Linked DNA regions of Drosophila melanogaster. The protein of the gene in region 1 purifies or fractionates together with the protein of each later gene. This does not show direct contact. Each region holds a gene or a part of one and is shown on either strand. Other genes may lie near its edges.

The links. The genes of interacting proteins can lie anywhere in the genome.
Region 2: the proteins of RfC3 (region 1) and Ku80 purify together in Drosophila melanogaster (affinity purification with mass spectrometry, with the first as the bait; one large-scale study listed by BioGRID). This does not show direct contact.

The regions. Positions count from the first base shown.
Region 1 is NT_033779.5:10,417,489-10,421,172, forward strand, and holds RfC3 (replication factor C subunit 3), read left to right. Parts: upstream 1-1,701; 5' UTR 1,702-1,776; coding exon 1,777-1,814; intron 1,815-1,870; coding exon 1,871-1,935; intron 1,936-1,991; coding exon 1,992-2,442; intron 2,443-2,502; coding exon 2,503-2,717; intron 2,718-2,779; coding exon 2,780-2,857; intron 2,858-2,912; coding exon 2,913-3,064; 3' UTR 3,065-3,124; downstream 3,125-3,684. Other genes in the region: Klp31E (Kinesin-like protein at 31E), read left to right, coding at 1-705, 769-850, 917-937; pie (pineapple eye), read right to left, coding at 3,340-3,684.
Region 2 is NT_033779.5:15,768,091-15,773,082, reverse strand, and holds Ku80 (Ku80), read left to right. Parts: upstream 1-1,923; 5' UTR 1,924-2,018; coding exon 2,019-2,033; intron 2,034-2,090; coding exon 2,091-2,186; intron 2,187-2,241; coding exon 2,242-2,474; intron 2,475-2,529; coding exon 2,530-2,652; intron 2,653-2,711; coding exon 2,712-4,344; 3' UTR 4,345-4,453; downstream 4,454-4,992. Other genes in the region: CG31826 (uncharacterized protein), read left to right, coding at 542-620, 680-1,055, 1,332-1,506, 1,563-1,739; wek (weckle), read left to right, coding at 4,852-4,977.

The DNA.
Region 1 (3,684 bases):
CGCACGACATAGATGGGAAAATCTGTACCGCAACATATTGCATGCGGCCAGAAACAGGCAACTGATCACGCAACTGGAGAAGGAGCTGGAACGTTTGATACTGGAGCGCGAAGATCTCTCTCGTGAGCTGAACATAATGGAAAACGGACAAACTGCTGACAGGCAAACGGATGAATTCAACGAAGTTGACAATCTCAAAACAAACATAAGTTATATTCAGGAGAATATAGAGCATGTGCAGCAGGCCATAATGGAGTTCGAGGACACAAAGGACACTGTGCAGAGCCATGTGAATAAGATACAAAGTCTGCTGGACGAGGTATCAACCGTGGCGGAAGCCAAATTCATCTTACAAAAGTTCTCCGACACCGCCATTGTCATGTCGTGCAATTTGGCCATTGCCGAATCTCATTTGCAGGAGAAGGAATCGCTGCTGAAGGAAGTTAAGCAAGAGAGCGGCATTCAGCAGCAAATACTGCAGCATTTCCTATCGCAAAACAGCAACGTTCATATAGCAGACATATTTGACTCCTTAAATCTCAAGGGCAGTAATATCGCAAGTAGTGTAAATCCAGGTTCACAAAAGTCTTTGATCAGCAACGCCACATACGACATCCCGCAAGACGACAAGAATTCCGAGTTCCATCAAGTGGAAATGCGCAGGACGACGAGTAGAAGTCCTTCGCCTCTAGGAAATTCCGATCCGTAAGACTGATTGTATTTCATATGTTTTGGATTAACTCTAAACAATATATATTCTTCCTTCAGCTTCGATAAGAGCCCCAAAGTGCGCAGACGTACCGCCAAGCGACAAGATCTGCTTTTTGGGGATACGGAACTTTCAGAACAGGTGAGCGTTACTCATTTTGAAAAATACCTGTTTCTAAATGACGAATATTATGATTTCATCCGCCAGACTTTTAATAAAATGACGTGATCGTGCAATCGAAGATGAGGTCATGTGACCAAAGACGCGGTTGGAATTGAAATATATTGATTGGTAGCCGCTTGGGAACAAATAATAAAAAGACAGTGTCAATAAGTTTCTAAGTTATTATTGTAACTATATTTATTCAAAACTAACTTACTAGTGCTTCCGTTTGTTTTTTTTGAATACCGAGCTAAGGTCTTGTGCAATTGGTGTCTTTGCAGTTGTTCAAAATAAACAAATTTTAGAAAATATTATAATAATGTATTAATAAATTTTATAAGAGACTTAGAACAATACCATGCCTTGAAATATACAACAAAAAACTTAATTTTATCTTTTCCTGTAAGAACAAAGTTCTTCAGCAGCTTTGTGCTAGGTACTAAAATGTTGACCCAAGTTTTGGAGATCCTATATTTTACAGTAAATGTAAATGAATCGATTTAAAAGCATATTCTAATAATAAAAATATATAGTATTGGCTAACATTGTGACCCTTATTAAAATATTGAAAAATTCAAAAAGTGTAATTAGGACAATGTAACAATAAACTGTATAACGTTATATTGAAATTTACAAAATGACTTTTCTTTTGTGGTTAAATAATATTATTTTTAATACATATTTGTAAATAGATTCGTTTGTAAAATTTTGAACTTGATAGCCTGCATGTGATAAAAATAAATCGATAGTCGAATGACCCCAACAAGTGTTTTCGATTACCATTTACTCTTCCGCTATCTTGACATTCATCGAGCTATCGATTTTTACCGGTAATTCGCATTTGCAACTCGCTTCCATGCGCATTTTATTGTATTAAATTTCTACCAATATATCAAATTATAGTTATGTCGGAAACCAGTGGACCCGCAGTGCGCATGCCTTGGTAACTTGTAATTAGATCTTGGAAATCCACAAGTAATACTATTTTCATTTCTTCAGGGTGGAAAAGTACAGACCAAGCGGTCTCGATGATTTGATATCTCACGAGGAAATAATATCAACAAGTGAGCATTCTGAGCGTTTAGCCATACAAAGCCACCACATTTAAGTGTACTTCTAGTAACCCGCTTTATAAGCCGCAAGCAGCTGCCCCATTTGCTGTTCTACGGACCACCTGGCACGGGAAAAACGAGTACAATCCTGGCCTGCGCTCGCCAATTGTATTCCCCTCAGCAGTTTAAGTCCATGGTCCTGGAGCTGAATGCCTCGGATGACCGAGGCATTGGGATTGTGCGCGGTCAAATCCTTAACTTCGCGTCCACACGCACCATTTTCTGCGACACCTTTAAGCTGATCATTTTGGACGAGGCCGATGCCATGACCAACGATGCCCAGAATGCCCTGCGCCGCATAATTGAGAAATATACGGACAACGTGCGCTTCTGTGTGATTTGCAATTATTTGAGCAAAATCATTCCGGCGCTGCAGTCGCGTTGCACCCGTTTTCGGTTCGCTCCATTATCCCAGGATCAGATGATGCCGCGACTGGAAAAAATCATCGAAGCCGAAGCGTAAGGTCTTTCAACTGCATAAAATAGCTTATTACTAACCTAAAATCTATCAACTATCAGCGTTCAGATAACTGAGGACGGCAAGCGGGCACTGCTGACCCTGGCCAAAGGTGATATGAGAAAGGTCTTGAACGTCCTGCAGAGTACCGTGATGGCATTTGATACGGTAAACGAGGATAACGTCTACATGTGCGTGGGCTATCCGTTGAGGCAGGATATTGAACAGATATTGAAGGCCTTGCTATCCGGCAGTAGCTTGGAGGACTCCTTCAAAAGTATGATGCGATTTGAAATGGCGAAAGATCAAAACTAATGATTCTTTCTTCTCTTTGCATAGCTGTCGAAAGTGCCAAGTACGCAAGAGGTCTCGCTTTGGAAGACATCATTACAGAATTGCATTTGTTTGTTATGAGACGTAAGTTTTTATCAAGTTATCATCAAGTCAAGTTATTGATATGTATTCCAAACAGTTGAGCTGCCTATGTCGGTCATGAACAAGCTTATTGTAAAGCTAGCTCAGATCGAGGAGAGATTGGCCAAAGGATGTACAGAAGTGGCTCAAACTGCAGCTCTGGTAGCCGCCTTCTTTATTTGCCGAGATATGGTTTCAATGGAGAAGTGAAACAATGTGTACTCCAATAATAGGTTAGAATTAAATTATAAATACAAAAACATAAAACACAATTTATTTACTGCATGCTTCTCTAGTTTAACAATCATTAAACCTTTTTAAAGTGGTTTCAGAGGTAGGAAATTTTTTTTTGTTTTTTTTTTTTTTTTGGATGATCATGCGAAACAATATATGCATAAAGAGACTAGAATTCTATGACGAATTAATTCCCACACAAGAGAATTGTTTAAAACATTAAGAACATTAAGAATTGTTTTAAACAATATTTAAGAGAACCCCTCTGATCTGTACCATTCGTGGAACTTCTCGATATGCTCAAAGATGCCGCGGTCCTCGCTGCGGCACCATACATCGTCTGGTGTTATGTTGACGCGTTCCAAAGCTGCCTGCGAGGTGTCCTGAATGCGCGGGTCATCCTCTTTAAATCGCAGCACACACGTACCAATGCACTCACCCATGCATGTGCCGTGCTCAAATTCGTAGATAACCAAGTAGAAAAATGGTTCGCCAGGGCATTGAAAGCCCGATTTTAGCACAAGTAAAGTATTTGGATCCTCTTTCGGCAGTGACGGTGAGTTGGGAGCTTTCGCCACAGCTTGTTCCTGCGGCTG
Region 2 (4,992 bases), 5.4 Mb from region 1:
TTTTTCTCAACACCCGACTCCTTTGGCCACCCACCCACCTCCGTCATAATTGAATTGTGGCTAAGATACGTGGTTAGGTCAAGTTGATAACTTCAGCGAAGAAGAGGCCTTTGCAGCATTGATTAAATACCATTCGTTTAAGAAAGAATTCGTAAAGATTTAAAAAAATTTTAAAGAAATTATATTATTAGATTTGTTTATTATAATATCGATTTACTTTTCTAAAAGATTTTATTTACATACTAAAAGCAATAAATCACCATAGAAGCCAAGTTCAAGCTGAAAACTAGATATGTATTTCTAGGCAATTTGGAACCATTAGCAATTTGAGCACGCACCGGTTATAAAGCAAATAAACCATCTACACCAAATCGCATTTCATGGATACTTTAGTCAGTGAGCGTTGTTTGCGTTGCGAGTGCGGATCGTTAACGGATTGAGTGTGTAAATGTGAAACTTCTGGCTCTTGAAAAGCAACCGATCAAAATTCTATAACACCTTTGGACGATATTTCGTTCAAAATTCAAAGCCTAAACCCAAAATGCTTTTCCTCACCGCCCGTGTCGATCACACGGCCGAGCAGATTTTCAAAATTGAGCAACTCAGGCAGCTGGTGGAGAGTAAGCTAAATGCTGTGTGTGAATTCCTCGATTCGATCAGCCAGATGAAACTGTTTCAGAATGCGAGGACCTAAGAGTGGGCACCGAGGACACCCTGCTGACCAAGTTTCTGCACTACACGCGCTGGGACACAATCAAGGCCTATCAGGCCATACACGACTACTATGAGTTCAAGCGACGCCATCCCACCTGGGTGGCCCGTCATCCCATTGAGCACTATCGTCAGCTCTTCTACGGCACCCACTGTCGCTATGTTATGCCCCAGGCGGATCGCAGTGGACGGGTGCTGGTCGTCTTTAAGACGGTGGATGGGTTCCAGGACTATCCCGACTATCTGCAGAGTCTCGTCGAGATGGACGACCTGATCTTCGAGTCGCTGCTGCTGCTCCCGCGCGTCCAACAGAATGGGATTACGGTCATTTGTGATCTTCAAGGGTGTGTTATATCCTATAAAATTATTATTACACAAAAGTTACGCTTATTTATTCTCAATATTATCTTGATTAGTAGTATTACTTAGTATGTATAGTAAGATGAAAACGCATTTCAAGTATTATTTGTGTTTTTAAAAGTATATTTTACAGTTTAAATTTATTCAATGATTTTGTGAATTGAATCTAAAATATTTTTGAAAAATGGTATTTTTCTTTAATTTCTTTTCCCAATAGTCTATTTTTATTTATTTTTATTTTTCCGATTATTAAATTCCAGGACAAATCGAAATTTTCTCAGGCAATTTTCGCCGGCGTTTATGAAGGTGGTAAACGAAAAGAACGGAGTTCTGCCCTTCAGTCAGCGCATCGTGCATATAATACAACGAGGTTTCCTGATGCACGTAACCTCCACTTTGTTTATGCCCTTCATGAACAAGGAGTTCAAAGAAAAGGTAAAAAAAAATATAAGGATTTAATTTGTTCACTCTAAAAATGCTTCGTTTAAAAGATCTTTACCCACGATGGGCGACATCTGAGCAAGCTGCGCGAAATGGTTGGCTACGAAAGTTTGCCTGCGGAATATGGAGGTCCTGCGACGAATGTCCTCGATACGAACTTGATATTCAATCACCTGAGCCAGAATGCGGAGTATCTGGAAAAGCTGCAGACCTACGGAAAGGCATAGGGAGATATGGGGAACTATTGCTTACTATTTTATTAGTATTTTGAGCACGAACCAAATATATTGACTATTTATAATTAAAACAAAATTTTGCATTTCGTTTTTATGAAAAGTAACAGTTAGCAAGTAAGTTGGCAACGCGGTGCTAGAAATATCGATAAGCGATAGGTGGTAGTGCATTAGGTCAGTAAGCCGCCGGTGTTTTCTGTTATCGACTGAATGGTATTATTGTTGTGAAATTTAAAAACATAGTCGCTGAATTTAGGTAAATAAACTTGTTTGATGGCTTCTAACAAGGTAGGTTCACAAATAATCGCATTTAATGTTAAGGTATCTCCATTGTTTGATTTCCAGGAATGCCTTATAATTGTACTGGATGTGCGAACATGTGCCGCCGAAGAAGTGAAGCTGAAGTCCGCAAAATGTGTGGCGGAGATTCTTAAGGACAAGGTGTGTGAAATACAATTGGGAACTCAGTTAAATATGCTAACTGAAACAATTGCAGATCGTGTGCGATAGGAAGGACTACGTGTCCTTCGTCCTCGTGGGTTGCGACACCGATGAAATAAAAACTGAGGATGCTTCCCACCCAAATGTGCTGCCCTTTGGTGAACCAAGACTTTGCAGCTGGCAGCTCTTGCTGGAATTCTTCCAGTTTGTGAATAAGACAGCCTGCGAGGATGGAGAATGGCTAAATGGTCTACAGGCGGCCCTGGAGCTTCAGAATGTCGCAACTACGTATGTGACTTACCTTATCATCTAACCATCACATTTTATGGAATATTCCTTGCAGCTTGAGAGTCGCCAGGCGGAGGATCCTCCTGCTCTTCGATTTCAACGACTTTCCACAGGACTACGAGAAGTTCAACGAAATCACGGACGAATTACTTGGCGAAAACATCGAGTTAATTGTGGGGTAAGATTATTTATTTTGTTAAATGCATAATAGTAATAATAATTTACATTATCACTTAGAACTCACAACATAGCCTACATAGACAATGCCATCACTTCTCAGCCTCAGGCTATTTTCAACTTTTCGCGCAAATGCGGCCCCGATGAGCTGAATAACCAGAAGTACGCCCTCAGTCTCGTTCCTCGCTGCAATGCGACGTTGTGCAGCTTCAAGGAGGCACTGCATACCGTCTTCAAGGTGACCAACCGGCGACCCTGGGTGTGGAACGCAAAGCTGAACATCGGCAGCAAGATCTCCATTAGCCTGCAGGGCATAATCGCCATGAAGAACCAGACGCCCGTAAAGCTGGTAAAGGTCTGGGCGGAAAAGGATGAGATAGTGATACGGGAGACTCGTCATTATATCAAAGGCACTGAGATCACCCCGCTGCCGGAGAATCTGATAACCGGTTACATGCTGGGCGGCACTCCGGTGCCATACGACGAGGCCGTGCTAGAGCCAAAGGAACCACACCCACCTGGTCTCCACTTCTTTGGCTTTATCAAAAGAAATGCCGTGCCGGATGAGTACTTTTGTGGCGAGTCCTTGTACCTCCTGGTGCATCAGAAGCACAATCAATCTGCCGCCGTGAAGCTGGACGCTCTGGTGCGTGCTCTCGTTTCTTCGGATCGGGCCATACTGTGCTGGAAAATATATAGCACCAAGTTTAATAGACCGCAAATGGTTGTGCTACTGCCCCGCTTAGCAGACGATACCCATCCGGCTACTTTGTATATGCTGGAAGTTTCCTATACGTCTCAGCACCACTTCTGGGACTTTCCGGCACTGCGAACCACCAAGACGGAGTGCAGCGAGGAACAGCTGAATGCCATTGATCAGTTAATCGATAGCACCGATCTGGAGTGCACACTGCGGGACACGCAGCAGCCACGTCCGTGGGCGCAGAATGATCTGCTGCCGTTCGACGCACTTCCCAGCATCTTTGAGCAGAATGTCATGGACATCCTAGAGCGAAAAGTTATCTATGATAACGACAAGGAAGACAAAATGCTTAAGGACAAAAACTTCGCAGATGTATTCTGGCGAGTGCCAGATCCCTTGGAGGAGAAGTCAAAGAGAGCGGCAGCCATCGTAAAGAAGCTATTTCCATTGCGCTATAGTCGCGCCTGGCAGGAAAAGCTGTTGGCCAAGGAGCAGGCAGAGAATGGTGTGGCAGTCAAGTCGGAACCAGCGGAGAAGGAAATCCCGTTGCCATCAGACGGTGTGGGCTTAATTGATCCAATCTCTGATTTCAGGCGAGTCCTGGCTAGCGTTCACACAATCAGTAATGCCACTGAGCGAGATGCCCGCTTTCAGGCGCTGGCTGCCGATACCCGCGTGGTGATCATCACACTGCTGCAGCGCAGGAAACAGAACATCGGGCAACTGGGCGAGCTCATCACCCTGTACCGACAGAGCTGTATAGACTTCAACACCTTTTTGGAATACGACAAGTTCGCTGAGGAGCTGAAGAAGATCGCGCTGGCCAAGAATCGCAGCGAATTCTGGCAAGACGTTATGGTCGACAAGCAATTGGGCCCTTTGGTGCTTGGCGAGCCGACGCTGGACGACGAATTGGCTCTAAAAGCCTATTACACCATCGAGAATTGGGTGGAGAGTGGGGCGAACGATATGGAAGACGTTGAGATGTAGTTTATCATTCCATTTTGTTATATTAAGCAAATGTGCTAAAATTAGTTTTTGTTATACACAGTTTTTCTTATATGTAAGTCGAAAATAAATTATTATATTGTTTATATATATATACCAGAGTAAAAACTCGGTCGCATGTTTTAAAAACAACATTATATCCCTGGGAAACCACATCCAAATGATGATGATAATACATCTCTATGTTAATAAACATCGACACGCAGGAAGGAAAACGTTAGTAATACTTCTTATGATTGAGAAAAAAAAGTAAAATAAATACAATTTTCAATTCCAAATTTAAACTGAATACTTTTTGAAAATGGCGGCAACAACTTGTTGTTTTGCACTTATCGATATTTCCAAAAATCATCGGAGTGCGCATACCAATTAATCGATTCGGAATTCCGCTCCATACAGCTGATTTTAATCAGCGCTTTGGCAATAGAATTTAGTCAAAACCCGAGGGCATACTGTACCAAACTGTGGGGCTTCTGTTGAGGATTAGCCATGGGAGTTCCCACAAGCGATTGGATATACTGGTGTCGCCTGTGCGCCCGCGACGACGTTGTATACAAAGTGCGCGAGCGGGACGACGATCTGGTTAGGATTATCAGCAAATGCTTTGATGTGGAGGTATGTTATTCGTTT